Drosophila melanogaster: one gene and its partners. The protein of the gene in region 2 interacts with the protein of the main gene of each other region in a pairwise test. Each region holds a gene or a part of one and is shown on either strand. Other genes may lie near its edges.

Region 1 (6,268 bases), on a different chromosome or scaffold from region 2:
TCACATCGCTCCAGATCGCCTTAGAGATATTCGGAACACGTACACAGAGATCGTCGATCTGCGGAAAAGAGCTGAGAATATTATTGGTAAATTGCAGCGTGAAAACATCATGACTCCGGAAATAAGAGAGGAGCTAATGTGCGCCAAGTCCAACGAAGAACTGGAGTTCCTTTATGCCCCCTATAAGCCGGCCAGTAAGGGCACTTTGGCGGAACGCGCCAAAGCTTTGGGCTTGCAGGTGTACGCCGATTGTTTACTGTACGGCTCAGCACCTAAGGTCAACCTTTCTGAAATTGTGGACCGCCGAAATGAGGCTTTAGCTACGGAGGCACTTGTGATGTCTGGAATCTGCCAAATTATTATTCACAACATCAGCAAAAACACAAATGTTTTGGAGGAAATACGCAGATTGTAAGCTCTTGTACCTAACTAGGAAGTTTCTATTGAAATTATTTGCTATATCGTTCTAGGCAAAACGTGCACCGGGTATTCCTCAAGTGCAGCAAGACCAAGGAGGCGAAATCGTCTAAATCTAGTTCTTCTAGTAAAGCAAGCTCCAGTAAAGGATCCAACCAAAATGCAGATAAGAAATTGGATAGCTCAAAGTTTGAGAATTATTTCAACTTCCAGGGTGATGTTAAAACTATAAAACCTTATCAAATGTTAGCCATCAATCGTGGGGAGAAGCACAAATGGCTTTCTGTCAAGATAGAAACGAACGATTACCTTAAAAGAGATCTGATGCGCTATATAACCGATCAGTACATGAACCAAGGCTTGCAATATCCATTAAGAAGGGAGGTGTTCACAAAATCCTTAGAGGAGTGCTACGCGAAGAAGTGTAAGATATGGAATATATTAAGACCCCCATATGATATGTTAATTAATTACTTATTACAGTGCAGCCCTTGATGTGCAGGCAGATTCGAGCGGCTTTAAAAGAAAAAGGCACAAAGGCAGCCATCGATGTGTTTGCCAAGAACCTGAAGCAACTACTGTTGATATCCCCCTTGAAAGGCGAACGCATTTTGGGCATAGATCCGGGTTTTATAAATGGATGCAAGCTGGCACTTATATCCGAGACTGCTGATGTGCTGTACACTGGTGTTATTTACCCTCATGGTGCCATGTCAAACAAGCGGGCTGCCGAACAGAAATTGGTTCAGCTTCTTTCAGATCATAAGTATATATATATTTTGAATTCGATTTGCAAAGATAGTTATTAATATGTCTTTTTTGCCTTTCCCAAAAGCTGTAAAATTATTGGCCTGGGCAATGGTACTGCCTGTCGCGAAACTGAGCACTGGCTAACTGGTATGTTTCATGCCGGCGTTCTGGACAGCAGGATCATTCGCTACAGCATCGTTAACGAGAATGGAGCATCTATTTACTCCTGCAGCAATGTGGCCGCCAAGGAGTTTCCCAAAATGGATACAAACGAAAGGAGCGCAGGTTTGGACGAAGATCAAATTAAAAGCAACACAAACAAACATATTTTGTATAGTGTCCATAGCGCGTCGTTTGAATGATCCATTGAGTGAATATGTTAAAATAGAGCCCCGTCACCTGGGGGTTGGTATGTACCAGCACGATGTTCCCGAGAAGATTTTGACGGCATCGCTGAATGACGTTGTGTCCGAGTGTGTCAGTTATGTTGGCGTTGATCTCAACACAGCCAGTCTGAGTGTACTCAAGTATGTGTGATTAAGGGTCAAATAAGTTATATATTTTTAATATTCTCCACCATATAGGCACATTGCTGGTCTGTCGGAAAAGAAAGCGGAAAAGATCATTGAGCATCGTACGCAGAAAGGACCATTCAAGACACGGAAGGATCTGCTCTCCGTGCGAAGCATAGGTGAGAAATCGTTTGTCCAGTGCGCCGGTTTTGTGCGCATCGAACCCCGAAGCGTTGGAGGACAACTACAGAATCCATTAGATTGCACTTGGGTGCATCCTGAGAGCTACAACGTTGTGGAAAGGTAAGTCCAATATTCAATTGACTTCATTAACCAATAATAATGAGACTTTATTCCGCCTGATTCATCGCAAGCCTGGCCTTTTCATCCGCTGCCCTCACTAACAAGGAGGTGTCACTAGGTGTCACAATGTCACTTTCGTGTTGCGTGATGCCAGCTATGTTCTTTGGACAATCGTCGTCAAAATTCTTAAGATTTGTAACATCCTCGCTAGATTCCATTTGACACCAGCACGGAAGGTACGGCTTCAAGGGATCCTTCTTGTCGCAACGCTTGCAGGTGCAGTTCTCCATGCCGGCACTCATAAAAGTCCGGAAGTCCGTCTCCTGACTCAAAAGCCCCAGATAGTCCTCTATAGAGTGCTCTTTCATAGGGTCCATCAGCTCCGCCCACGTCTTTAGCTTCACGATCACGCCAAAGAAATACGTGTTTAAGTCCTCGATTATTTGCAGCACCGAATCTAGCTCTTTCAAGAATGTACTTCCTAAAGACCGGTCCAACCTGGCTACGCGTTGATCTAGCTCCTTTTTCGACTCACTCATGTCCAGGTATAAATTGCTCAAATCGGTGCTAAAAAGTTTTAAATTAGCAGTGGCTGTGTATTTTTAATAGACTTACTTTGACTGATTGACGATATTGTAGGCTCTCTGAAACTCGCAAAGGGCCCGCTCTTCGGTCATCCGGCTTATGTACTCGGGATAGGTCTTAGTGCATCCGGTCGAGCTGGCTAAAATGCGATAACGCACTCCATGGTAACGCATCTCCTTAACCCTCTCAATCTGAAATGGTTTGGCCTGCTCCAGCTCATTCTTCAGGGCCTTCATTTTCTGGTCAACTACTAGAGTTTGCTCGTGCACACACTGCTCAAGCTTAAAATCGTAGCGGGAGTAGATATTCTCACAATGCTTGAAGGTTGGCTTCAGCAAATGGATGGGAATGGTCGATCCCCGGCACGGTGGCGGAAGCGGACGACGCTTGTACCGCTCCGGCGGATACTCCCAGCAAACTCCAAAGCGGGTTTGATCCTGCACATTGAGCGGATGCTGCCAGCAGGGCTTGTATTTCGGCTTATCGTTGTGGCCGTAGAATGCTACCTTTCCACATGCAACATATCGAAGCTTGGCTGGCGGCACAATTGGAGGATAATGCCAGCGCTCCGCATATTCCTGCTTTAGCTTGGCAATCATTATAATGGAAAATTTGAAAACTTAACTCTAAAACCAAATACTTTTTGTGCTTTCAGTATTGTCGGAGAATGTGACTTAAAGCTGTCGGATGTGGGCAAGGCTGCCTTTATAGCTAGCATCAAGCAGTTTGCCTCATCCCAGCCTAATCTCGATCGCATTGCCAAGCAGCACAAGCTGCCCATGGAGCGAGTAAGTGCCACTCAATCTATACTAAACAGGCCTATTGCAATGTTCAAATAATTTAAAATAAATTTCCTTTCAGTTGGAGTTCCTGTTGGTTGCCCTGCAGCGCGAATTACTTCAGGATTATCGAGCAGATCTGGACAAGAGGCCACTGTTCAAACAAGGTCTAACTAGGCTGGATGATCTTAGCATGGGCGAGGTGGTCACTGGCAAGTGGAGACTATGATAGTCATTTCATATATGTACTTATTGAAACTATTCCGACACACAGGTGCCGTGACCAACGTAACCCAGTTTGGCGCCTTCGTGGACGTTGGAGTGGAGCGCAATGGCCTCATACACAACAGTAACATGAATAATTCGCAGCTGAGCGTTGGCGATCGCATTGTGGCATCGGTGGTAAAGGTGGATCTGAAGCGACGCCAGTTGGAATTACGTTTGGAAAATATGCTGATGGAGACGGATACCTCGTTTAAGTTCAAGGCGGAGGATTAGACAAACTGCAGGGATTTAATGCTTTCGGAAGTATTTAATGATTCATATCGTAATTGTTTGGTTGCTCACACGAGCATTCATATATACTATATATAGTTCATATATATATTTATATATATGTGTATATGCATAGTATAACGGCTTTCCTAAGTTTAATCAAAGCTTATCAGTTAGTAATAAATGTTCACATAAAAATCACCGTCTCCACGTTCGTCTTCTTGTTTCCCTTCTCGCCACAAGTTGGCAAGTTGTCTTAAATGAATTGTTATCGAAAGGGTATTGCTTTAGAAACTAAGTGATGCCCTCTTAAGCCAGTTAAAATAAATATACAATATGCATACATTTAGGCGCTTGGTTTGCAGCAGGCAAGTTGCTTTCACTTTTAGTTAGTTTGTATTTTCGAATTTATTGCCGTTTCAGTAGAATTGTTAAAAATTATTATAAACAATGTTATATAGTCTGCATTTACATAATTACACAATACCATAATCATAATATATTCAAAAATATATGATGCATTTAATTTTATTTTTTCCTCCATCTCTCTTTACCCCGTAATGGATATTTAATTTCATATTCTAGCTACATGGACATGTCGCGTAATCAACCGATAGTTGTTTAAATAAATATATTAATCCGTACATAATATTGGAGTAACTGTTCCTACACAGTTAAATGTGATAATGTATCGCAAAAGACCAAAAACAAGTTGTACACGGTATGGTAGTAATTGCTTAAGCTTAATGCTAATGCGCTTGTCCTCTTCTCAATTCTCATTTCGTTATTGTTACTGCCGATGTTCTCCATCTTGTGGTTGTGTAGAGATATTGTTCATTAATTAATAATTTATTTTTATCATTTATAATGATAGCATAGGTAATGATGTAAGTATTGTTTATCAACTCTTGTAATAATAAGTCTATGTGTATAAGCAGTTTTCATTCTCGTTCCTAAACAGCCGTCCAGCAGAATCTTTGGCGGAGCAAATATGAACGATAATTCAAATTCGAATCGATCTGACTGTGTAGCTTTAAATCAGGTGAAACCGATCTCGAATACCCTCATTCTGGATAAGTAGCATGGTAAATATAAAATCAACTGCACGAATTCGAGATAATCCTCTGGTTGCCGAGATTATGCCGATGTCTTCTGATGAACGACCTTTAAACGTAAAATTCTCCCTCGTTAATTATCGCATTGGTAGTCTAATTGTCTCAAATGATCTCTTTCTCGCAACCCCTGATGGGGTTTTAACTGACTGAAAGTGCACGAATTCCGAATTTCTGTGGCAGACACGGCACAGCCGCAACGCTTGAGTGTAAGTGGGTGGGTGGTGGCGTGGCGCGAGTGGTGCTGAGTATGCGAGTGGGTGAGTGGTTCAGTGGTTCTGTGTGGATCTGATCTGTTTATGTTCCCGTCGCAGGCAGCTTGGCATTTTGGAGTATTCTATTCAAATTCGTTCAATCGCCTGCTTCACTGGTGGGGAGAGAAAAGATAGTTACACGCATAAGTCGAAGTTGCTGATAGGTTCAATGTGGGCATGGCACTTACCGATAGCCAAGAGGCGGGGATTGTGATGTAGGTGTGTGTTGGTTATGCGAGTTTTGAAATGATCGAAATCAAGAGCGAAATAAAACGTAATTATTTCTTTTTCTTCTCTTTTCTGCAAGTGTAGAACAATAAGCGAGGTTAGCAATCGTGGATTGAAAACAAAAAACGGGTTGTCGGATGGTGGGAATTCGTTTTGGGATCGCACTAAGCCAAGCTAGACACTGAAGAGTTAACAATTAACATTGAGTTTTGGCCTCGGCCTGCTCACATTTAATAAGACAGGTGATCGGGTCGATCAGTACGGGTCAGGGCATTTACAAGGAGCACCTCTTGGAGCGGATCACTAGCCTCTGAGTTGTGGTGCTTCGTGTGCTGTGGCTGATGTGGCTAAATCTTGGCAAGAGACTAAGTTGCTTAATGGCTTTTCGAATGGATCAAGTGCCGCCAGAGTGGGCAACAGCAGCAGAAGACATCGAACCATCTGTAAGATTGAAGAATTCTTCCATTTGGGTTTTGCTTTTCACATTTCACTTGCATTTGGGTGGAACGTAGCATTTGAACGCATTTGAACGGGAAAACGGAATGGCAACGGGCAACGAGTAACGGCAACTGCTTTGGGTTCACCTAGGGCTCGGGGTCACCAAATGTCGTCGGGTTAACATGAGTCATATATGGGTACATCGGTGAAATCATCAGCAACTTGTGTACAGTGTGTGGGTGTGGGATGGCTTAATTGATTCGTCTACTTAAATTTTATATCTATCCGTTGGATGTGTGCTGGTTTGTAAAACTGGTATAATCCTTTTTTCTTTGTGAGTTATTATGTTGTTGCATGTATATTTGGAATGCCGGTAGCTTAGGCTTAAACGTAAA
Region 2 (6,199 bases):
GCTTCGATGTAGGCCAAAGCCTTGAGGATGTAATCAGGAATGGGAGGCGGCGTGGGCAGATGAGCACCAGTAGGACGATATCCGTTCTCATCGGCAGTGTACTCCAGCTGGATGGGTGTTCCATCGGGAGCAGCGTAGCTCACGGATCCGGCAGCTTGGACTCCACCCACTCCACTCTCCTGGGCATCGATGCCGTTGGACGTTCCGTATTCCCAGCTGTATGAGCCATCCGGCTTGATCTCGTTGCGGTACTTGGTGGTCTCGGCCTGAGATTCGTCTGCAGCCCGGATGGCGGCCACCAGGAACAGGGAAATGATTAGCGCCTTGATGCCGGAAAAGATACACCAATTAGATGTGCTATTATAGCTATTATCGCATCGGACTTACGGTCTTGATCATTTTGGTGTTGGATTTGCTGCAGTTGCTACTGATTGCTGATTACTGATCTCCAAGTTCGGCGACAGATCGTTTTATACTCGCAACGATCACTGACCTACACCTACACCATCGCCGAACAGGTGACTCTTCGCCATTCCGAATTATTAATTTAATTCGCGCATTTGAAAATATGAATTTGACCGCGTTTTTACGAGCTTAGTAGTTCGCCTAATAGCTGCTTTGTCATCTGTTGTTTGTTTTAACTACGGTTTTACGACCCAGGTGCTCTATAACCCAGGCCAACTTATGAGTAAAGGCCTCTCCTTATCTGCGCCTTAGAAATCACAGATCAACGATCTCGATTTACAGACGCTGCCACACAATGGCTCTTTTCTTATCTAATCTTGACTTATATTCATAATAAATAAATAAATCGTAAGCCGAATTTGGAGTTACCAGAAATATTTCAGCGAATATGACACACTCTTTCTCTTGAGTAAAATTAATGTATAATAATACAAATGTATATGATTTGGGGAGTGATACATTTTCTAAAAGAAACATTTAAAATATATATGTATTATACATTTAATGTAACATTTAATTTTAAAAGGAAAAGCTGACTGTACTAGAAATAAATTTTATTTAAATTTAAAAGATTTAATTAAACTAAAAATGTATAAAAATATTTTGATTATAAGTGAATGGGTATTGAGCTTTCAGTGATCACCAAACCCAGTTACCAAGTCAACGTACCGCCTACTGAATAGTTAGAGTATCCGATATGGAGGCGCCAAAATACTCTACGCTCTGTCACTCGATTAGCGGCTTTTGTTGTTAATGATATGCAAATGAAATATGAATGCGGGCAAATGCCGGCAGAGCAGTTTGCTTTTGGATCTGAGACGAACTTGAAACTCTAACAAAACACCAAGTGTCATCGTAAATGTCTAACGACTGCTGCCGATTTGAGATAGTTATAGTTTAGCGTGCATTTAAATAAGTTTTGAAACCTTTGGCATTTTGGTGTTATCCAAAAAGTATACTATTGAATATAAGTTTTTATTAGCACAGACTATGGTGTTAATGTAGTGTGTGTGGTAAGTAAGCCAAAACAATTCATATGTATATAATATAACAGCTTATAAATCACTCCAACAAATACCAAGTTTTATACTCGTTAATCGTAGAGTAAGTGGGTACTTTAGATTCGATGAAAAGTTTGTAACAGGATGAAGGATCTGCGATCGATCTGCCAAGTGTCCGTACGTCTGTCTGAACTTTGAGGTCTCCGGAAATATGAAACCTACAAAATTCGAATTAAATATGCAGTTTCCAGACTTTGCTCACAAACTTCAAAAAAATGTTACGCCCACTATTTTTTAAAAATTGTTTGCTCGACTATAGCGTTTTCTCTGCTGTTTTCACACTGACTTACAATTGCATTAGTAAAAAGTTATTTTTATCGATTTGAATACCCGTTTTAAACAAAGGGTATGAAACAGAAATTGTTAAATTGTTGTTATAGATGATGGTTTTTCTTGATTATGATCGTTAAATGTCCTTCAATCATATCCTTGGATTTATGATGCTAAGGAGTTGGGATTTATTTTTTTGATATTCCCCACGGTTATTTTTTGAATTCTGATCTTGGTCCATGTAAACCTAAGCAACGCAAATTTGACTTTTAAGATTGTTTTCTTTACATCTTCGACGTTTATTTCATTTCTACATTTACATTTTTACGATTCGTAATAAAGCTTTTCATATGTATGTTGGCACATTCTAGTCCCGATTTCGATTAACCAAAGACCTTCTTGAGGGCGGGCCTGCGGTACTCCTGCTCGACATACTGGGGATGGGTACGGATGTACTCCAAGCTCCTAAGGATGGCAGCTGGGATTGGGGGAGGAGTGGGCAGGAGAGCTCCCTGTGGCTGGTAGCCGTTCTCGTCGGCCACGTACGAGATCTGGACGAGCTCACCCTCTGGCGAGTACCACGAGAAGCCTCCGTTGGCGTGGTTTCCACCAATTCCGGACTCCTGGGCGGCGATGCCGTTGCTGGTCTCGTACTGGTAGTTGTAGTTGCCCTCGGGCTGGATGTCGGAGCCGATCTTGGTGATGTAGGCACCAGCTTCCTGGTTGTAGGTGGCGGCACCGTAGGCGCAGGCCAGGACGGCGGAGGCGACGAGCATCTAGAAGACAATGTTATTATTGCAATTTGGTTTTTGATGAAATTTCCAATGTCTTGAAAGGCCAATTCTATCCATGGTATCTAAGTCCGGTAACTGTTTTCTATTTTACTTATTTTTTGTGTTAATCCTTATCGTTAGTATAAACTATTTATTATATTGGTTAATATTTTGATATTTTTAGTGTCACTAATTGTCGTTTTCCACTGCTGTGCTATAGTTATCCTTGCGATATACTTACGTAGCGGAACATATTGGCTGATTTGGAGGAGTTCGTGTGTCTGCGACTAAGAGACGACTCTGAATGATGACTCTGTGGCGGGGCAGCAATGTTTTATACGAATTCTCGATACGAAACCCGATCCACCCAAACAACTTTTACGGCAGACGGCAGGAAACTCATATGAATGACAATGGCCAAACTGAGATTGATCAAACTGGAGCGGCTTAAAAAGGTAAAGAGCCAAAAAACGCACTTAAATTTGGCTCTTAACTTTTGCATAAGTATTCATCTGGCAAGATAGTTATATTTAACATCAAATTATGCATATATTAAAAAAGTCATATTCACATATATTTTAATAGTATCTAATAAGTTTTAATTAAGAATTAACATTTTTTAATTGATTAAATTCAACAATCGATCCTTATAAAGTATTATACGATTTATTTCACCAAATTATGGTACAAAATATTAAAGATGAGATAATCAACTCGTTATCATTTTGAAATGAGCAGATTAATTAAACAGATTAAAAGGGCAGTTTAATAAACTAAACCCATGATACTACTGGTAAAACTCTATTTTTTAAGTAAGCAATTGTTTTTGATTAGTTATCTAAAATATATTTGTTCATTTTAAAGGCCATAAAAATAAACAGTTCAACCTGTGTCGCAATAAGGGAACATATTTTATTTAAATAAGTGGTGTCAAGTAGATGGTATTGGTCGGAATAAGTACTACAGATCGTTTTATAGGGCAAGTACCCCTATAATTTCAAGGACTTGATAGTTAATTTCTGCTCGACAACGGATGGAAAGTTTGTGGTATTTAATTTGGTTCTTAAAATCTGACATAGAATTGCCTGTATATTCGCACTATAAAACAAATAGGAAGGTAAAGTAAGCATATCCTTAAAAAAATAGTTTTAACAAGAAAATTTGAGAAAATTGAAATATTAATATAGGTAATAATAAAGGTGCAATTGAAATATGTTTGCTACGTTTCCTCGTGGGATCTTAAACCATATTTCATATATTAAGCACCCATTATTCTAGTTCATCCAAAATGTTTGAAATAGTTTAAACAAACATAGATTTATGTAATTTTTTTCTTCTTTATTTTAAAACATTTTTTAAATCGTAATAAAGCTCTTTTAAAATGTTATCACATAAGACTTCCGCTCCCGCTTAACCAAAGACCTTCCTGAGGGCGGGCCTGCGGTACTCCTGCTCGACGTATTGGGGATGGGTGCGGATGTACTCCAAGCTCCTAAGGATGGCAGCTGGGATTGGAGGAGGAGTGGGCAGGAGAGCTCCCTGGGGCTGGTAACCGTTCTCGTCGGCCACGTACGAGATCTGGACGAGCTCACCCTCGGGCGAGTACCACGAGAAGCCTCCGTTGGCGTGGTTTCCTCCAATTCCGGACTCCTGGGCGGCGATGCCGTTGCTGGTCTCGTATTGGTAGTTGTAGTTGCCCTCGGGCTGGATGTCGGAACCGATCTTGGTGATGTAGGCACCAGCTTCCTGGTTGTAGGTGGCGGCACCGTAGGCGCAGGCCAGGATAGCGGAGGCGACGAGCAGCTATAAAAGCAGGTGGATCCCAGTCAGTTACAAATTGATCATAGACGTTTTTGGATTGAGTCCATAGGAGTTTAAAATATTTTAAGATGTTTAAAATATCTTAAAGAATTCTAAACACAACTCGTTTTAGGTCGAAGTAAATATCCTTTTGACTTACGTAGCGGAACATCTTTGCTGGCTTGGAGTGCGTTTGTCTAAACTGAGAGACGACTCTGAATGGTGACTTTACTGCAGACTGTTTAGGTTTTTATACCAATTGTCGACATCAAACCAGATCCACCGAAACAACTTTTACGCTCTGCTGCAGGAAACTCATCTGAATAACAATAAAATCGAATAGCCGAAATTGGCCAAACTGGAGCACTAAGAGTGACTTGAGAGCCAAAGAGCTACGCACAAGTTCAAAAATCCACTCTTTTCGTTTTCAATCAAACCAAGATGTGATGCACATTCAAACAACTAAGGTGAAGATATATAATATAATATATAAATAATATATAAATTGTATATGTATATATATATATATAATATATACAACTATGTATGGCCTTTTCAAACATTCATTTCACATAATTAAAGAGTTTTTCAAATACTTTAAAGCTTAATTTAATAATTAATTTAATAATTAATTTTATGTTATGTTTGTATGTTAACTAAGTTTATTTAGGTGCTTAAATTTTCTTTAAAATGTATTACTTGATACACATTATTTTCCTTCTTAGGCACCTTATTTCTAGATAAGGTCCTACCAGCTTGACCGCTGCTGTGCGTGTGGGCATTGCAAAGAGCAAAAGTTAATACGAACCCCATGCGGCAATGTCAATGTCGCAGCCACATAGGTCGGCTTGGAGGTTCGAGATCCGCAGACTCCAGTTTCTGGTTCCAAATTCAGTTTCAGGCGGCGCACCCAAAAAATTGTATTAATTAAATGCATTTAAAACACCGACCAGTCTCGATACAATTTTAGCATAATTTATGGTTTTACTCCGGTCTGCTCAATGGTTAACTTTTCCAGTTCGATAAGTCAAACCTTTTCTTGGCTCTACGCGTGTGATGAAGTCCGTCTGAGGTGCTGAAATGTGTGCGTTTAACAAATTGGGCCATTAAAGTGAGTTAATGCCTAATTGGTACACAAGTGAGATATCAAACTGGATTAACCCGTTGCCAGGCGCGCCTAATCCGCCTTATCCAAAATCCAAATACTACCAAACGTATCGTGTCACCAGCGGCACCTTTAATGCGATTTTTCAAAATATTGTATCATATTCTAGCACAGTGGTTCGCAACCAGTTCTTCAGTCAGCAGGAAGCTTTTAAAATTAATAGTATCGAATATCTTTCTGAAAACAATCGAGTTTATGTTAATTTCTTTAGGTACCGATTAGTAAAAGTATATATGATTATATGACTTTCCACGTCTTAAAGTTGTGACAAATTGTTTCTTTTAATGACCTCTTAAATAATGTTTTAAATATTTTGAGAATAAATGAAATATTTGCATTTAATAAAACGAGTTCAATATCCTCACTCAAGTGCACTAAAAATGTAAGACATATTTTTCCTTATTTTGGACCTGGATGCTAAAAAATCTTTAATAAATACTTATATCATATTTAAAGCCTTAAAATCGTTTGATCCTTTAATGTCTGCCTTCTGCACACTGTGCTGATAGGTTTTCGATGTGCCAATGAAATTATTCAACCTGGGGGGGCATGGCCTTGGGCAGATATGTATCCATCCGATGAGAACACGTCGCTCGTAAAACTAAACTTTATGACACGCCAAGAGTGAAATAGTCCGTCTGCTCGGATCGATAGGAAGTGCTTGT
Region 3 (10,503 bases), 1.4 Mb from region 2:
GATATTCAGACTACCAAGTTGAAAAGCACATAGTATAAACCATGTATATTATGCAGTTATTAGTGTCTAATTAAGTTTATATAGCTTTATTTATAAAGCTTTATCAGCTGAACTCATAACTTTATTCCTCAATCATTAATATGCGTTACTTATTGGTAAGTTAATCACATATGCCAAATGGATGTTATGTGTTTGTATATATATTAAATTATAATATATATAAAATAAGTTAAATTTAGATTTATTTTTCCACTGTATGCTGAGGACAGCAACCCTGGCAACTTTACCCATTTCTTTCACTGCCAGCCATGAACTTTTATTATGCCTAAGGTAAATTGTGTTATTTATTTTTTAGGCCTGTCGCCAGCCACACAGTAATGGAAACAGTGTCGCCAACGGCGCAGAGTCCTTGGTCCTGGCTCCTCGCATTCTGTGTCCTGGTCAACGCATAATTCAGCGTTACTCTGTTGCCACATGGCCACACCCACATCCACCACCCACTGAGCTTACAGCATCCGCAATCCGCATCCCTTTCGGCCCCAAACAAAAAATCGCAACAATTTGTAATGCCAAATATTTTATTCATTCTGCGTTTGCCGAGCCGCCTCCTTGGGCCATATAAATAAATACATATTTGTGCACTTATTTTTTTGTTCCTTTTGGCCCTGTCGGTCCGATTGGCTCAACAGGTCAGATCCGGAGCTGCGGGTGGTGCCTTCACCATGTGAGGACATTTATGGCCAGGCTCTTCCTGCATACAAATGCAGCCGGGGAAAAGCGGAAAAGCCGAGGCGCAGAAATTTATCACGCCATTAGTGGCGCACAGTTTACCGGAAAATATTCACAATTTGTTTATGTCAATTGTGTGTAAGCTTTTTGCTGTCAAATGGTCAAATAAATTATACTTTTATTCCCTGAATTAAATCGCTATTTATTTAATCTGAATAAATATAATTTCTGCATCCATGAGGTTTAATATCTGTAATGTCGTGTTTGCAGAGTTGTAAGTAAATGTTTAGTTTTGGGTAGTTTAAATATGGTTATTTATTTAAATGTTACCATTTAGTAAATTCAATTTGAAGTAAATTACTGAAATGTAAGTAATGAAATGTATAACTCTAATATGAATTGCACCCGATGTTAGGCATTAAGACATATCTGAATATTATTTGAGTATTATATTTAACGGATTGTTCTTTTATAATCCCTTGTATATAAAAATAGACAAGCACTGGAAGAAAAATGTCCCCCCATTGGCGTGCTAATTATGGATCTGCTGCCCATTATTGATGAACTGATGACGCTATCTGGTCACCAAAATAGCGAGTGCCAGTGGAATTGGGACTTCATAAACGCATCGGCACGGCGGCAATTCGAACATAATGAACTCAAAGCCAGGCCGTTGGGTCATTTGTCTATTATGGCGCATTGATTAGCGCCTGACCCCCATTTTGCAGTTCACACTTGCGGGTCGGGATCGCCCCACCCCGCCGACAAATGCACGCAATGCCACACATGTCGTGTTTAATTAACCCCGAACAATTTCAGTTTCCGCTGCACGCCGCCAAATTCCCTACACACACACCCACACACACATATGCACTTTGGCTGCACACTACTCACTCATACAAAAGGCACGCGCATAATATCCATACATACATGCATATGTATGTGTAGTTTGTGCCCTCTGACCCCCATTGTTCAGTCAATTCAACCGGATCCCTCGCAAATGGCCCCAATATCGGAATGCCGTCGGAAACACAGTGACCCAAATTAATCTTTGTCATTAGCAGGGCCCAACTGCAAGTGTCGAGTGGTATGCGATCTAAAGGCCCCTCACAGGCGATGACATCGGGATTTCGGGATGGATGGAGGAATAGATGGATGGATGCAGGGATGGAGGCGGTGGTGCCTCCAAAACCGCCGCCCTTGAGTTTCCATGTCTAGGCTCTGCGTAGACAAAGTGCCAAAAGTTTGGAAGCCTTTGCGAGATGAAGCTGAAGGGAGGAGAGAGAAATGTATATGAAAATTTCAAAATCACAACATCACAACAGAACTGCAACAATTACTCATCATCATCAGCTACAAATATAGATTTCTTAGAATATTGTTCAATAAATATTATTTATAAGATTTAACATAATACACATAGATATCGTTTAAGGTGCCAACTAAAAATATATAAGGTTAACAGTTAGTAAATGAACAAATTAAACAAAATAACAATTATTAATAATTACAAAATAAATTATTATGAATTACACAATACAGTTTAAATGATCTTACAATTTTTTATAAAAATGTATTTTTAAATCTTGCATTACTTAGCAATTGTTTTTGGCACTTAGTTAAACAAATGCCAACATTTATTGTCACTCCTTTATTAAGAAATTACATGTTTCCTACCTGATATAAAAGAAGCACAACAAAAGAAGTACCCATCGCAAAATCCCCCAGGATCAAGCATTTAATGTAGCTCCATTGTCCTTTAAATTCCCTGCACATCCCCGTGCTCCGTGTACTGATTATGAATCGCAAAGATTACCGCACATAACTATTATCATCGTCGGAGTTGGGAAAAGTGGGCTGGGAAAGCGAAAGATGGCTGGTTGGTTGCCAGTTAAATGGTTCGCCCGCACACTAATTGTGAGTAACACGTTCGCGTTTACGAAACTTTTCTGGGAATTTTCGTCGGAAAAGAGGCCAAGAGCCAGGAGTTTCGACCAGACAAGTCCTCATCTCGGCAACTGGGTACTGGGAACTCTGAACTGGAAGCTAGACATACAGTCAGCCGGCAAAGTGCTTAGACATTAAAGTTTTTGGCGCCCCGGTTTAATAGACCAGAAAATTCATTTTGGCCAGGTTTAAAGGGCCACCGGCCACCCTCATTAACAGCTAGCTCTTTGAGCAAAATTCTCCTGGACACTGGGCCGCAAACCTTAATTAAAGCAGCGGGACTGGTCTTTAAGCTTAGTCCTTTTTATAGCGTTCGAAAATCAATAAATTTAAAATGTACAAGCCACTGCGGGAAAAGGGAATAAAATCCTAGCCAGCTCACAAACACACACACACACGGTAAAAATAAAAATAAGAAAAGAAGGACAACAAAATTCCAGCCATTGAGGGAGAGTCCTGTTTTTTTTTGGGGGGGCGGGGATGTTGTTGCTGAGGCGACAAAGCAAGCAAGAAATCGCCGAGCCAAACATCCTTTTGTCAATACAAAATACGTACGTACAACAAAACAAATAAATGTGCCCACGAGCAAAGACAAAGACAAAAGTCAAAAGTGCAAAATGAAAAATCAAACAACAACAACAACAACAAAACCAGCAAAACACAAAAAGCCAAAACAACTCAGAAGCGCCACCCGGATTCAAAATCGGCATTAAAACGCATGAGATGAGATGAGATGGTATGATATGGGGGTTCCGATCGACGCATGCGCCAAAAGCTGGCGAATCTCACGGAAGCTGGGGAAAGGCAAATGGCTGGCTCTCAATGGCTTGCACGGGGATGGAGCCAAAAAGGATATGGGAGCACAGGATGTGCCATAAAATGGCGCACACGCACACACACACAAAGGCAAACAGTGGGCACTTCTCCTTCGGGTTGGAGAGAATTTCCTATCTCGGCAGCAGATGCTTGTGCATTTGGCCAAAGAAGAGCAAATGATTTTTAACAAATTTCATTAACATCAGAGGTCCGTAATCATTCAAGCATCGCGTTTCGTAACAGGGCCAGGTCAGAAGTCCGATACTGGCCGCCCCAAAACAACAGTTGCCAACTGCATTTCGAGTCCCCAAATGTGTCCTTAGGCGTCCTGAAAGCTGTGCTCACAAAATGTGCAAAGATACGTAGGAAAATCGCGTGAAAAGCCCTGAGAAAATTTCATAAATGTCTGTGAACGTGATTATATAGTTTTTCTATTCCCGAACTGAACGATTCCAAAATGATCGACGAACACCATCCCATGCAGATCGGAATGTGTAAGTATGGGCAAACCCGAGGAATATGAAGTCTGAATCTATTCCAATAACCGACGGCATTACAAGCCCAACATTCCCAATCCCGTCGGCATTTTTCTATCAGTTTATTAATTATGTTAAAAAGTGCTCATTAATTTATGGTATGTAAATAGCTTCAAGTAGAAGAGTGCATATATTTCATTCACTTTTTCTCTAGTTTAATCATAGTTTAAATATTAGCATCAAGTGATTAGCTCAAATCAAATACCTTTAGATAAGTGAATTAGGAATAAGCCACCATGTATCATGTGTTATATCGGTAATTGTGATATCACAATTGCACACTTTTCAAAGGTATAAAGTGGATTTTCGTTTTGGCCATTAGTGATTTTGATTTATAACAGTCAAAGAGATCAGCACATTTTATACAAATTTTATTCAGTTGAATTGGTTTTAAAAATACTAACTTAATAGCAGCATAAATAAGTTTTGCACATGAAATTATTAGAAACCAAAGATGAATTATTTGTGAAAATTTGCCATTTTCTTGCTAAATTCTACTTCGCACAAAGCAAATCCCAAGTTTAAACATTGCATCTCAACACTTTTGCTTCAATTTGCCTTCAGTGAATGCTATTTAGCACCCAGAGTGGCAAGTATGCATATGACCGACTGCACACACGTCCACTCGAATCCGACTGGCTGAAAGCCAATGAAAATTACAACATATTTTCCAGAGCAAAGCAAATTTTGACTTCTGTCAGAGATTAGGACAAAACAAAGCATTTGCGCTGCGATTGCTGGCACAACAAAACGGCAATGGCACCATAACTCTATTGTCTACTCAAATCCGATTAAATAAAGCGCTGTCAGTTGCTGCCGAGCGAACTGCTGGCAACTGACAGCGGATTCGGAGGCAGCACACAGCATCCTGGCAGCGCAGCCGACATCCTGGCAAGCATTTCCAAGGGTTTCCGCTTACCCACTCACTGTCGTCGACTGCCAACATATGCCGCCAGCAGCCAGCCGCCAGCCGCCGTAACCGAAATCCTGATCCCCTCCAGCCTCATCCTCATGCTTATTTGCTAAGCCCGAGCATATTTTCCGTAAGGGTGGAAATCCGCCAGCTAAATGCCCTCGGTTAGCCCCCGGATTCATTGAAATTCGTTTATAATCTACATAGTTATGAGCACTGCAAGGGGTGGCATTTGCAACCCGTCCCTCGATTTCCACTGCACATTAGAATCTAATTAGAGCGTGGGCAAGTGGAAGTGCTATCAATGTCGGCTTTACACTTGTCGTCCCAAAATCCTCGAGCTCTATTCTCCGACATGTCCGGCAAACATGTTGGTATATTTTCAAATGTCAAATGGCAATGACAGAGCACTAAAAGTGTAACAGGTGTGGTTGTTGAGCGGATTATTCCGCTGCACATCTTAGGAAATAGCTTCCCGCAGTTCCAAGTGTCACAAGTTAATGGGTATCGGGAATGGGGAGATCAGGACCTTGGAAATTGGGTTAAACACTGCTGGAGACTTCAGTTGCTATGAATAAGTAGCATATTGAAAAGTTTATAAAGCCAAAATACACCCAACGAACATAGCACACATGTCAGCAATATTTTGTTACACATAAATGAAGTTTAATTCATTATTAAATATATAAAAAGAATTGTATATAAAGGTGAAAACTCAAAAAATGCTTTAAAAAAATATATATAATGCTAATGCCAAAAGTTACAAAATAATTCAAAGAACAAGTTTTCAGCTTAATTTCTAAATGTTTTTAGATAGAGCAAAGCTAAATTGTTTCTGCAGGTTTTATATTGCGGTGGTTTTGTATAAATCAACCAAAAACTATATTGAATTTCATTTAGAGTACTGAAGTCACAAAAATATTTGCTGACTATTTTACAAATCGCTTAATTGGTTGACAAAACACTATTTGATTCCCATTTTCCCAGCTATTTTTCTGCATAGTTTTTCTATATCCAAATGGCAATTAAATGCAGTCCAATTAAATGTACTGAGAGCTGCAATCGACTATTTTCGCATTTATTTGTCATTTGGCAGAACAAACTGAGTGCAAGCTGGTCTAGAGCAATTCACGTCAATCAGTGCAAGAGGTGTAGCAAAAATTGTTAATGTAAACGATGGCTGGAATACTTTAACATTCTGGGCATATTTCTGGCATAAATTGGCATACCAGATATTATTTTTGCAAAACATTTAATGAAATTACGCACACATTTAAATCACTCAAATGCGGAATGACAAACACACACGCATGTGAAACGCACACCAGTGAAAACAAGGGAAAAACCAAACAAAATGAACGTCACACACACACAGAGGAGCACAAAAGCTGGAAGCTCGAAACAAATTACGTTGAAATTTCAACAATTTGCCATAAATTGAGACAACAAGGCACAAAAAGCCAACCAGTCAGCACCGCAAATGTACAGTAATTTTTTGCCACCAAGCCAAACAATCGCACATACGCATCGGTTACGCATACGCCACGTTGGTCGTATTTTTTACATGCCACATTTCGCATGGCATTTCGGGGAATTTCGAGTGCAGTCGCACTCACACTCGCACATTTACTCACACTCTTTCCGTTGGTGGAAAAGTCATTTCAATAATTGCAAAACCACAAATTTACTACAACTCGAAACGGTTATGGTCACAGTGCGAGGCAGATGGACATTGGTCCTGCCCGCAAAAACGGGAACCCTTTTTATGCCTGATGACCGAACCATAGTTGTAAATTGAGGGCGCTCTTGGCCACATTGAAAATAAAAATAACTGAAATGTTTCTCATTTGCATGTTCCTTTGGGGCGGTGGGCTGATCTGGACCAACGACACGACCGCAAAACCAAAATAGTTCCGATGGACATAAAATGTCAACAGCAGCAACTGGGTGCTGGCCAACTGCCGCAAACTGGGGGCCTCAATCAACTGCTGCTGTTGAACGGAAATGAACGCATGTTAACAACACCAACGACAGCAGCAACATCGGTGGTGGTGGCAGCCGGAAGGAGTGCGAGTACCAAAGCCGGAGTAGCCCACAATGACAAAATGGCGTCAGTCAGCAGAACTGTCAACGGAAGTTGCAGTAACCACAACAGCAGCAACAGCAGCAGCAGTAGCAGCACCAACAGCAGCAGCAACATGGCCATAAACAAGCAACCGATGGGCATGGGACCGGGCACAGGAACCGGAATGGGAACAGGAACAGGACATGGTCCAGGACCACCCAACCATACACACTGCAACCGCATCACTTTGGGCGAGTGCAGCCTCAATGGAATGGACGGCTTTGCAACGCCGGCAGCACCTCCATCGGCATCCAACACACCGCAAGCGCCTCTGGGAATGGCCTCCAATTCCGGCATGGGCATGGAACTGGGCCTGGCCATGGCATCGCCGCAGCTGAGCCAGTGCGCCCACTGCTGCCAGCCCATTTGCGATCGCTACATCATGCGCGTGGTGGAGAACTCCTTCCACGAGGGCTGCCTCAAGTGCACCGCCTGCTCGCTGCACCTGGTCCACTCCTGTTATGCGAGGGAGGGCAAACTCTACTGCCGCGTCGACTACGAGAGGTGAGTCCTGATTACTGAACCCTGCCAAACGGGGGGCGCTTAAAACAATCAACTCCGTGTGAGTTGCACTTACTTTAAAATGGTAGTGTTTATTAAATGGTACAGCTTAATATTTGAATGATATGATATATATTTATATTTTCGCTCCACAGACTCTACATCCGCAATCATTGCCTTGGCTGTGGCCTTAAAATCGCCGCCGATGAGCTGGTGATGCGATGCCACGAGAACGTCTTCCATCTAAAGTGCTTCGCCTGTGTGGTGTGTGGAGCTCTGCTGAAGAAGGGGGAGCAGTATGTGGTCAAACAGGGGCAGCTCTTCTGCCGCTTCGACTACGAGAAGGAGGTGGAGATGCTACAGGGATACGGTGGGTAATGGCCCTATTCGAAATCGGTTCCCAATGATAACCATATAACTATGTAGATTTCTATGGCGATGAGCTTTTCCCGCCCAAATTAGACGGACGAAGAGGACCCAAGCGACCGAGAACCATTCTAAACACGCAGCAAAGACGAGCTTTTAAGGCCTCCTTCGAAGTCTCACCGAAACCGTGTCGAAAAGTGAGAGAGAATCTGGCCAAGGATACTGGATTAAGCCTGAGAATTGTGCAGGTGCGTAAAGAGGTTTAAATGGAATTTAATCATTACATATTCTATTAAACCAATATCGTATTTTGTAGGTTTGGTTCCAGAACCAGCGAGCCAAGGTCAAAAAGATTCAGAAGAAGGCCAAGCAGGAGCCGCCCAGCAAAGGAGCTAGTGACTCGCAGGACTCGCAGGAATCGCTGGACAGCAGTCTGGCCACCAAAATCAAGGACGAGGCGCACAGCGACAGCGAATCACAGCTGGAATCGCCGTACTCGACGACCTCCGATGGACTGACCCGGATGCGATGCACCATTAAGGACGAACAGGAGCAAGTGCCCTTCAACTGTATGGAGACCAATAAAGGTGGGTTATGCCCTTTAAGGATATTTACGTATCAAGGAATATAAAATACAATTTACAGAGAACTGCAACAAGAACAGCGAGCCCATATTGAACACCATTCTAGGTCTGAGCTACGCCACCTTTCAGCAACTAATGGGTCCCTTTGCCCAGACGCCTATGATCAATCCGATCGACCGACTATATAGTATGCAAAGCTCCTACTTCCGGCCGGAGGAGCTGCAATCCTACGGCGAATGCGGCGTCAAGGACTCCATGGATCACTAGTCCGCCCGGCGAAGGCCGTCGAATTTTAAGCCCAAATCAAAATTAGACCTTGTAAAATAAAAGAATGTTAATGTGCTAGCAATCGAACTTAAACACCCCGAACCCGGATAAGTGGATTTACTGCCCTTCCACCCCCCTTGGAAGCTGGACCACTTGCGCAATCCACCCACCGGCCGGGTTGGTGGTTGGTGCATCCCATGTTGGTGGCTCTGCAGGTGCAGTCTCGAAATTAGTTCCGCTCGGTTGACAGGCACAAAGCATTTGCCACAGCAGTCGCAACCCTGCTGAATTCGTCCTTTCGGCTCGGAATGGGCGTAAAATGCCGATTCGTCATGCGTAGTTCAAAGGCTCGGATACGAAGGGATCCGGAACCGTATCCTCCCCACGATGACGAGCCGTTTGATAGCGTCGACATGAATGTGCTGCAAATGCCGCCCAAGGACAGCACTTTTAACTAGCATCCTGGCCTTTCGTTTTGCTTGAGCGGAAGAACTGCATCGGAATGTCCCAAACCCAAAATCTAAGACAAATTGGGTGGTAAATCCTTAAGCTTTCAAAGGCATAGAAAACCAAACTATAAAAAATGCTTTTTAACAAACAACTTTTTTGCCGAAAAACAATATTATATTATATTAAATATAATATGGTTTTTGAAAGCAGAGGAGAAAATTCATTTCATTATCCTACTAAAATATTTATATAAAATCCTTGAAAAAGCTAAACTATAAATAATTATGAAATTCAAGTTGATTTGTTTTGTAAATCGATCCAATTGTGTTCAGACGAACACCTCATAGCAATCAAACACTGAATAGCAAGCTTTTGCATAATTGTTATCCTTCCGAGACTAGGCCGATTCCGAATTTAGGAACTCGAATGGAAAACACTTGGACAATCGGTGGCTAATTGATTTACGAGGAACTGCAACACGTGTTTACACAACTCCGGATGAATCCAACCCCGTCGCGGAAGGAACAAGGACCCCGTCACTCCGCCAAGTTCCGTACAAGTTTGTGCAATTTGTCACAATATGTGTCACATTAGCCACAGCAATTGTGCTTAAACGTCACCGTCTCGCCGGGTATCCGGTTTTTGTGCCTCCTCCCCGGATGTCGTCATCGTCGTCAGGGCCGCTAACCAGATTAAACCCCAATCGCGACACCGATACGGCCAAGGATATCCTTACGGTCCTCGAAGGGGATGTTTGTGGTAGGGGTCGCTGAAAAAGTGGGCAAACAAAGAGCCGGGACTCAACCACCGTTGAGCCAACTGCCACCACCACCACCACTATCACCACTACCACCATCATCATCGGCGAGGAATCTGCACGCACCCCATTTCCCTTGCAGGATATCCGTGTAAGTCGTTTGCAGATACACGCATTAACTGTGGCCGTAAAAAAGAGATTCAGTGTCCGCATCATTAATCAAAAGCGGACAAGGCCAAACAAGTGCATTGCGCATTCCGAAAAAACTGCCCTCGAGAATGACGAAGCGATGTCCTGGAAGTCCTTTCTGCAGTGTCCTTTTGCCATTGAGAGCACCACTTGCACCACCTTCAACCACGTGCTCCTCCGCTGAATGATCCTTTTCCGCTCGTTAATGTGTGAATTACACAATTAATTACTGTGACTGCTATGGATGGTAAAGTTATTCAAATGCTCTTTCACTTGAGAGGGCACTTTTTTCATGGATTTCAATATTCCTAAAATAAATAACT
Region 4 (9,248 bases), 8.3 Mb from region 2:
CAAGCAGAAGTTTCAGTACATGTTCGATATCAAGACGCCCAAGCGCACCTACTACCTGGCTGCTGAGACGGAGGCGGATATGCGCGACTGGGTGAACTGCATCTGCCAGGTGTGTCACCTACACGACACAAAGCAATCGAATGAGTTGCCATTAGGAGCTGTGGGTGCAGGTGAGTGTCCGCAAGCCCATGTCCAAAGAACCCCTTCTTAAGTTTTTCTTTTCTTGCAACACCCAGACGAAAACCGCACCCAACACACGAGCTCCAGTGGCGGTCTAAGCAACTCCACTCAAAATACGACCACCACATCGTTGCACTCGTCGGCCGGAACCACAGCGCCTCAGGCTTCGGTCCCAAATGCTGGAGGATCTGCCCAGCTGCGACGACCGGCGGTCATTGAAGAGCAACCGATGCCCTCGAATGCCGGCAACAATAACTCAGACTCGGTGTATGTCAACACGGAGTACAGCAATCGCGAGACGATGCTCTGCGATGCCAATTTCGATCAGCAGGAACTGCTCTCGGCTGCCCAGCAGCAACCGCCTCCATCGCCGGCCACGGCTCTTTATCTAAACCACAGTGCTTTGATCCAAGCTCAGGCGGCAGCTGCAGCCGCCGAGCAACTGCAGCAGCAGCAGCAACAAGCTGCTCGCTTGGCGGTCAGTGCCAACGGAGTAGTGCGCAAATTGCCGGAGCATCTGGTGCTCACGCAGCAGACCCTGGCGGAGGCAGCTGCCCAGCAACACAGCAGCGTACAGGCTTCACCCGCTTTGAGCACCGCATCCGGACCGTACATACCCATCAGCGAGTGCTTCTCGGGCAGCCCGAGATTCCTGCCCGGCGTTCCACTGCCCGGCGCAGATTTGGCCATACCAAACAACCCCACCACGCCGTTGAACAACTTGGATCCCAAGTTCTACGATACGCCGCGTAGTCATAATAACATAGGTCTAAATCTGACCAACGATCAATCCTACTCACCGAAGATAACCAATTTGAGTCTGGTAAGTTGATAGCGATAACGATGCGCGTCAAGCATTATTTATAATTAATTATCATGTTGGCCTTTCAGCAACAATTGGCCAATAACAATGCTAGTAAACAACGCTCCGACTCCGATTCGGAAAGCGTTTTCACCGATGACGATGAGTGGGCTCATCCTTTGCCACTGCGCGAGAATGTGGGTAAGTACTCAAAAGGCAAATATCAAAGCGAATTCTCGTAGTAAACAAAGATTTCTCACAGATCGCAGTACCCGACCTTCGGATAGTTCCATTGAAAACGAATCATTCGTGCTAACGTACTCGCAGCGATTCTCTAAAATGCCCGAGGAAGGAGGAGCGATCGTGCCACCAGCTGAAAAGAGTTCCAAGCTAGCAGGAGCAGCATCTCTGCCAGAGGCTGGTGACCAGGGAACGCTGGATAAGCTGGCCAAGGTGCTGAAGAACAAAAATAATCTCATATTGGACTTTAAGGAGAATGAAAAGTGAGTTAACACACACTCAATTCAATTTTAAACGGCCTACTAAATCATCCTGCGCATTGACAGAATTCCTCGCGATCTGCCGCAGCTGTCGGATACGGAAAATACTTCGCCGGCCATTGTGGCCCGCCGCAACGCGCACTCCGCTTTCATCGAGGAAAGCTATGACATTCCAAGGTCCCACCAGCAGCCTTACTACAACGTCAACCAGCTGCTGGGCGAGCGACCAGTCACCAGCCCGCACAATTCCAATCCCATTGCAGCATCCACACCGAATCTCATGGCGGCCGATCTGGGTGCAGTGGCCGCAATTTCAGCGGCAGCGAATCCCGGCCTGATGGGTGAGGCACAGGCAGTCGCATCATCGCCCACCAGTGCGCGCACATTGCCTCGACACTGCTACACCAATGCAGCTCCCACAAAGATGGAGGGCAATGTTTTTCGATACGACTTCATGGAGCAGGCGGACTGCCCGCCGGTTAACCGGAAACTTAAGCCAAAGGTGGCGGGTGGATTGCCAGTTGTAGAGGACAAACCGCCGGAGGAGTTTCCTGCAAAGCCCCCGGTGGGCGTAGATCAGTTAACCAATAAACTGGGTGCAGCCCAACTGCAGCAGCCCATTGGACCGCCCAGTGTGGACAGGAAGTGCAAACCGAATGCCTATAAGGTGAGTGACAAACGTTGTGCACACCCATATTCAATTTACTAATGACTTCTTTTTAGTTGGGCAATTCGGCTACCATGTCGCCGGCAACGCGACGTTCCTCCGGTGCCCCTCTCTCAATGGTGCTGCCGCATGAAACGGATGTACACTCCCCGGCGGCAGCCAACGCCTTCTTTCACGAGACCCGCACCCTGCCTCGCCAACAGCATCGGCATCATCCGAACAGTCCCGGCAGCATGTCGGTACAACATCAGCGCACCGCCTCCGCAGCGGCTGCCATGATGAGCTTGACGGCAGCAGCTGCTCCCAAGCAGCAAGCGGCGGCGCAGACTGAGCACAAGCTGCAGTACTTTGATCTGGATGTGACCAACAAACCGCCATTGCTAAATCGATCCAGCATGAGTGTGGGGAATCTGTACTCACAAGGCGGAAATGGAGCTAGTGGAATGCGATTCGCAGGCGTCGAAGCTGGCGGAGCTCGAGCGCCAGTGCCTAGCAGCGTGGTCTATAGATCCGTGGACTTTGTCAAGACGGAGGCATTTAAGAGGATTCGAGAGGAGCGCGAGAGCAGCGGCAACAAGTGAAACTGCTGGTTCAGCTAAATGAAATCATATCTCCAGTACATCTACTTGTCAACGTGCAATAGCAAAGGAAGGACCATGTTGCTGATCCGAGATTTTCGTAGTGCCTATTGGTGGTCAGCTGAGGAGAGCTGACCCCATCCAAAAACAGTGCAAATTTCGAGTGGCTTTTACATTCGTTAACATCGTCAAATTCATTATTCATTAAACCACATATCTAGCTTGTAAGACGGCACCAGCATTTCTGTGTGCTGTTTTGAATCTGTAATCTGTAACCCGTATCTGAATCTATGTCGTATTCGTATTTAAATCGTGCTTCCAACACTTCCATGTTTATTGTTAAGCTTCGGAATCAAAATGTAACCATGACAAACGATCTTAGTGCTAATTTTACAATGCAAACAATTATTTTATATACGCAAGCGAAATATTTATATACACGAATTTTATATGGTAACAAATTATTTACAATTTAATAATGTAACTCGTGTGCGACACAAGCTGTAGCTTGATTTTGTGCTTTAAAAAATATATATACAATAATACCAATTTTGTGTGTTCTCCTAAAAGATCCAGAACAAATATCGAATTCCGATTGCTAGAAAATATCTGAATATTACAATATCACCAGGAAACGATGTTGCCTTCTGTTTATTCTGGAAATCCTATAGCAACCTTTGTTTCGAGTTAAATCAATCCAAGTCAACGCAGAGGTACTTGGCAACGCAGGAGTCTCCACCAAACAGACTGTTATTATTAAACGAATAGTCAGTAAACTAGCACGCTTTCGAGTTCCCTACCTTCATCCTTACATATTTGTATTACAATGTCCCTGGTTTATATCACCCATCACGATGAGAATATTCTCGAGTGCGAGCAGGACTTTGTGAAGGCCCAAGGACCTAAGGAATCAATTTTTGTCTACAAAAATCGTAGGGATTCGTACTAAAAATCGTTACCTCCCACCTAACTTTAAGCAATTTTGCAGCTGTTGTGGAGAGGGCAGCCAAGTATGCCAAGAGACTTCGCGAACGCTTTAACGAGGAGGACAAGAAGCTATCGATTATCCTCCAGAACGATGGAACCCGCGTCCTGACAGAGGCCAAGAAATCAGCCCACCGCACCATGGGCTGTGCTCACACTCCGATTGACCCACCGTGCGCCTATTTGCGCAAGAGCCAGGGCATCAAATGGCGGCGAGAGAACACCCACAAGTGTCCCAAGATGCCGCCAATGCCCCCACTACCACCACCGGGCAGTGGCGGCAAAAAGCCGGCAATGGTACCTAACTTCATCAAACGCAACAAGATATGTGCCGGACAAACGGTTCCCTGTCCCCCGCCACCTCGTTATGTAGACACTCCCGTGGGAGCTCGTCACGATCTACTCAATTCCGGATTGGTACCGCAGTTTATCTGCCGCAAGGATTTCGGCAAGGTGCCTGTTTACCTCAAGAAAACCAAGAGGATGTTGGCCGACATGAATGCGGTGTGTGCCAAGGAACAGGCACGTTTGCTGGAGCTGTGCCGCGGTATCAAGGGTTTCACCAGGGCATCCGTCCAATCAAGTGGTCCGCCGCCAATGCCGGGTATGCGGGTGATGGAGCAGGCCGAGCGAAATGAGATCCTCGAGGGACTGCGACTGAGCCTGACCGAGATGACCAAGCAGTATCAGTCGATGTCGCTCCTTATCGACAGCATCGCCAAGCGGCAGCGCAAAAGCAAGCTGGAGTCCGATCTTCGCCAGGTGGAGCAGGACATTCTGCTAATCGAGACCACTCCCATTATCTATGTTTCCGAGTACTAACAATGACACACACACCTTTTCTGACCATGTGTGTCGGCATCTGGAAGCCGAGTGAGGTGTCTCCATGGATTCACTTGCTTTGCTCTTAGAGGCGGACACACAAAACACTTCGTAATTAAGATTGAGAATAAATTTAACGTTTATGCATTAAACATTTCCGTGGCAAAGCTTCCATGGCAAACGGGACATGTCAGATGTCTCCCCGACTCGTAGAGTTCTTGCAGATTGTCCAGCTCGAATAGGATTTGGCGGTTGCAGAGGCTGCAGTAGCGTCGCTCCAAGCTGAGGGAGATCTGTACGGATACTGTAGTCTTGTCTTAAAATGAATTCTAGTGAATTCTTACCTCCACAAAGGACACACTGCATCGATGAAGTTGCTTCTGGGGATTAGATATCACAGGTATACCTAGCATCTCGTGCAAGTGCTGAATATGGTTGCCCATTTGTTCAACGAATGTCCTTGCTGTGGATCCTAGGGCATGGTTTTCCGTGAAGTCGTCATTGAGTTTATTTATCAGTCTGTGGGCCTCCTCGAACATACATTTTATCGCCTGCTCCTGGAATGGTGATCTCTTACTTAATGACCCAATAAACTGGAGCCTCAGTCTTATGTGTGTGATATTCAGCATCGCAAGGAGCAGCTGCAGTTCATCCCGGGACTTTTGGATGTGAACTGTCAGCTGGAGGTGGCTCGATTGCAGGCGAATCACGTTTTGAAGAACATGAAATTTAATTTGCAGCTGCTGCAGCTGACCTTCAGTGGCGGTATCGGCAAATTCAATGGAATCTAATGGACAAAAGTCCATAAATTTTTGCCAATTCTCCTCGGCAAAAACGTGCAGACGTAGTCCAGCTAATAAATCGGTATAGTGATTCATGGGCTTATTGGATTCCAGATGCCTGACAAGCTGATCAAGTGGATCCTGATTCCCCACCTTGAGCACTTGCATAACCAACTGGTTCTTTTGAGATACAGTTTCATTTAGATATTCCTTGTTGCGGTAGAGTAACAGGGTCATTAAGTTCTTGTGCCTACTGGTGCACAGTCCCATCACCTGGAAATCCTGAAGGACACCCATGGCTATCGATTGCATCTGCAGGCTAAGCTGATTATTCTCGTGGATAATTTGTACGCAAGACAAACAGCTTCCAGCGGTTCCTGCAACGTAGCTACTGTTCTCCAGGCTGCAGAGAGCGGTGATCTTCATTCCGCCGACATAGATCCGAGCTTGCAGGCAGTCTGTGCTCCCCGTTCTTGGCATGCTCCAGGTCAGCAGGTGCGCCGCCTTGCAGCAGGTTATATAATAGCAATCCATTCTGGGACATTCAGTGATCACTGCCATTTGCAGACCCATGCGATCGGCTTTCTCCCACAAGGGCTTCACTAAGGCGAGAGCTGTATTTCCCTTAGCTGGCAATTGGTACAGGTGAATGAGTCCGTTGCTATCGCCCACCAGTAGAAGGTCCTTGAAAGCTTGTATATGGCAGATACGACCCATTGAGGTTTTCGTTTCTTGATGACTTAAAAGAGTTTTGACATCGGCGCTTAGTGTGAGCAACCACAAACTTCCTGCGGCTGTTCCCAGAACCAAAACATGCTGGCCAGTGGCATCTGCATCATCAGGTAACCAAGCAAACATAGTGATCCAGGCGGGATTAATATATTCTTGATAGCTCTTAAAGTCTTTTATCTTGGCGATGTCCACTTCAGGCAGCAGAGTGTCCCTCAGAGTTTCAGCGATATTTAGTCCTTCCACAGGGTTCCAACGATTGTACTCAGCGGACTTGTTTATTAGGCTCAAGGATCCATAAGTGTTGAGGGAGCCCAGGAGGAGATTTCCATTAGCTGCCAGCTTGGGTGCTCGCTTAACAGCTGTTAGTCTGGCTGGTGGCACGGCAACGGAGCACACAGCCGTGTATGCCGGGTCCAGGGCCAAGTGCTGTGCCTCCAGGACATCGCAGCTGTCGTATATGGCAACCAGATCCACTTTGTTGGCCAAAACGTCCAGAGGTCGTGTTTCCGCAGCGTTGGAATCATAAATGGCCACAAAATACGGAAAGGGATCCACGACCATGAACTTGCTGCTCAATTCCAGAGTGATCACTTCCGATTTGGAGCCGCTCAGTGCTATAAAGTCTCCATCGGAATCGCTGTTTACAAAGTCGTGTACCGAGTCCTGGCGGACGAATCCTTTGGCTAGAAGGTGAAAATCCAGATAATCTAGAACGAAATTAAACATTTATTAATTGCAATAACAAACTGCAATTATATTACAAGATATTCCAGTTACACTATTTCATTGAAGAATAGGAATTATTTGTAAGTGCGAACAGAGCGAGCACAACAAACCGCGCGAAATCGGCAATCACTATCTCAGATGTGTGGGTATATCTATTTAGCACGCATACACTCACATTTCCCGACATCTTGAACGCCATGTGAAATTTCTCCCTCAGTAACTTTCGTCATTTCGTCGTGCTCAGTTCAGGAATCCAAATCCACCGGAATGGCGGCCAAGAAACTGGGAATGGTTAGAGCACCATGTAACTTGTTGAGTAGATAACTGAAGTTCTTTCTTTTCAAAGGACTTTGTGAAGCAGATGTCCGAGTACGCCAGCGGGTCCAATGGATTCGACCGCGTCTTGAAAATGGTAAGATTCTAAACAATTTGTGCAGCCGATTTTAAAGCGACGCCGTCGAAGTCTCTCAAAAACAGCTGACTGTCATCAGTGATGGTATTACATAATTCAGCTCGCTGCAATCGATAACCGTGAAGTGCTCACCTCTCTCGTGGGATCTTCAGAGATTCAAAAATGTAAACAAATTTCAATTCGCAGATTAAAATTACAGGCGGTGGAGATGGTCGCGCAATAGGGGAGTTCACTGTGGCCAATGAGCATTTGAATCGCCAAGGAACTTTGCACGGTGGTCTTACGGCAACAATTGTTGATAATTGTACCACATATGCCCTTATGTCGAAAGGTATTTTGAAAGTTTGTTTATTACAATCTATAGAATCTACAATGAAATTTTTTTAAATTTCAAGGATCCCATCCCGGAGTTACGGCCAACCTGAATGTAAGCTACATTGCAGCAGCGAAACCTGGCGAACTTATTGAAATTGATTGTAATACCGTGCGGGCCGGTAAGAAAATGGCCTATTTGGACTGCATTCTGAGGCGTAAGTCCGATGGAAAGATCATCGCCAAGGGCGGACAGGTCAAGTACATTCAGTTCGACAAGGAAAAACTGGATTTTTAAAACAATTTTTGTAGATCGTCAGAAAACGAAATAAAATCTTTCGAACCTCTGCTTAAGACGTACTAGTTTAATTATTTATTATTTCTTAAGTTAGTTATTTCTTAATTTACAAAATAAAGATATTTAAAACTAAAATAGATGAAAGACTATAGAAATCCCAACGGATAATTTTTAAATAGGTAGGACTTTGCATATCGATTTGCCCTTTTAACTTATCGATTGGCGATTCTGCTTATCGCAAAACAGCTGTTGTTTGTTTTGAAATTGTTTTGTTAGGTGTTACGTTAGATTTTCAGATTTTTATGTAAATTTCGGGCAGTACGGGGATAGTTAGGTAGGATCCGTTAACTAAATACTAACTATTTCATAATATCGTGCTATATTATGTTTACCTTATTTTTTGATACTTGCTAATTGTTTACTTTTCATCGAAAAGCGGAAAACTGCACTCGAAGATAATGAAATCAAATATTGAAAAAATCAAAGCAATCCATTTGTTAATATACTACTGTGATTTATTTTTTAATGGATTTAGTCCCATCCAAACTTACACACGTCATACATACAATAAAGTTGGATTGTTCTATTGTAAAACAATTACTATCTGACACTTGAGATATAAGTGCACGTTACGACTACTTATCTATCTACAAAACTAAATCTAGTATATTTCTAATCGTTCCGATCGGACAAACTAATTCATTTTGTAGTTATATAGAAGCTAGCGGATCGTCTGTAAAGCAACATCAATAAATAATATGGGAACTCGCAAGAAGGGACTCGAATTCGCTAAACACATCACCGAGATTATCAACAAGTCAACGGGCTTTGAAAGTCACCTACAGAAGGTTAGATCACCATAGAGTCTCCTTACCAATATCATTATCTCATCCTTATATTCCATTAAAGGTCAAGATCGTAGACGGTGGCGATGGAGCCTGCACTGCTGAGCTAAAGGTGGACCAGGATCATGTGAACTTGTACAAGTTTTTGCACGGCGGTTATATCATGACCCTGGTGGACTTGATAACCACCTACGCCCTAATGTCCAAGCCATGTCATCCCGGAGTTTCGGTAGATCTTAGTGTAAACTTTCTAAACGGCGCCAAACTGGGCGACGATGTGGTGATTCAGGCCAATCTGTCCAAGGTGGGCAAGTACCTTGCCTTCATCGATTGCACCCTGAAGCACAAGAAGGACGACTTGGTGATAGCCAAGGGCACACATCTAAAGTATATCAAATTTGACTAGACTAGATAGTCTCAAATTGGGAGCTACTTCGTTTTGAAAAATATTTTCGAAGCGCCCCAAGTAAGTTTCATAATTTGTACAAATAAATGATTATGGGTTATTAATGTGCTTTATTTTATTACACGTGTAGCAGTACATTGTTAGTTAATTGTCAATTAAACATGCTCATTGCGCAATTGCCGGTGTGTTTCCATTTTGGTTT

Evidence for each region.
Region 1: the proteins of Cpr67Fa2 (region 2) and CG13843 interact in a two-hybrid assay, tested with the Drosophila melanogaster proteins (one large-scale study listed by BioGRID).
Region 3: the proteins of Cpr67Fa2 (region 2) and CG4328 interact in a two-hybrid assay, tested with the Drosophila melanogaster proteins (one large-scale study listed by BioGRID).
Region 4: the proteins of Cpr67Fa2 (region 2) and CG12182 interact in a two-hybrid assay, tested with the Drosophila melanogaster proteins (one large-scale study listed by BioGRID).

What each region holds. Positions count from the first base shown.
Region 1 is NT_033777.3:22,606,436-22,612,703, reverse strand, and holds CG13843 (uncharacterized protein), read right to left. Parts: upstream 3,220-6,268; 5' UTR 3,167-3,219; coding exon 2,598-3,166; intron 2,550-2,597; coding exon 2,030-2,549; 3' UTR 1,989-2,029; downstream 1-1,988. Other genes in the region: CG31156 (uncharacterized protein), read left to right, coding at 1-411, 471-841, 901-1,183, 1,253-1,452, 1,505-1,694, 1,752-1,982, 3,223-3,355, 3,429-3,558 and 1 more; Efa6 (exchange factor for Arf 6), read right to left, coding at 5,486-5,507.
Region 2 is NT_037436.4:10,888,391-10,894,589, reverse strand, and holds Cpr67Fa2 (cuticular protein 67Fa2), read right to left. Parts: upstream 2,877-6,199; 5' UTR 2,823-2,876; coding exon 2,811-2,822; intron 2,573-2,810; coding exon 2,180-2,572; 3' UTR 2,074-2,179; downstream 1-2,073. Other genes in the region: Cpr67Fb (cuticular protein 67Fb), read right to left, coding at 1-323, 388-399; Cpr67Fa1 (cuticular protein 67Fa1), read right to left, coding at 3,980-4,372, 4,530-4,541.
Region 3 is NT_037436.4:12,289,317-12,299,819, reverse strand, and holds CG4328 (uncharacterized protein), read left to right. Parts: upstream 1-3,696; 5' UTR 3,697-3,949; coding exon 3,950-3,986; intron 3,987-6,852; coding exon 6,853-7,570; intron 7,571-7,722; coding exon 7,723-7,937; intron 7,938-7,993; coding exon 7,994-8,181; intron 8,182-8,249; coding exon 8,250-8,520; intron 8,521-8,578; coding exon 8,579-8,784; 3' UTR 8,785-8,864; downstream 8,865-10,503.
Region 4 is NT_037436.4:2,592,317-2,601,564, forward strand, and holds CG12182 (uncharacterized protein), read right to left. Parts: upstream 7,264-9,248; 5' UTR 7,186-7,263; coding exon of another isoform or gene 7,120-7,185; 5' UTR 7,065-7,119; coding exon of another isoform or gene 7,041-7,064; 5' UTR 7,004-7,040; coding exon 6,949-7,003; exon of another isoform or gene 6,809-6,948; intron 6,755-6,808; coding exon 4,878-6,754; intron 4,827-4,877; coding exon 4,674-4,826; 3' UTR 4,534-4,673; coding exon of another isoform or gene 3,716-4,533; 3' UTR 3,660-3,715; coding exon of another isoform or gene 3,554-3,659; 3' UTR 3,526-3,553; downstream 1-3,525. Other genes in the region: dos (daughter of sevenless), read left to right, coding at 1-170, 237-1,003, 1,072-1,183, 1,245-1,485, 1,549-2,149, 2,206-2,730; CG16984 (uncharacterized protein), read left to right, coding at 3,554-3,659, 3,716-4,533; CG16985 (uncharacterized protein), read left to right, coding at 7,041-7,064, 7,120-7,185, 7,372-7,516, 7,581-7,795; CG16986 (uncharacterized protein), read left to right, coding at 8,554-8,643, 8,705-9,046.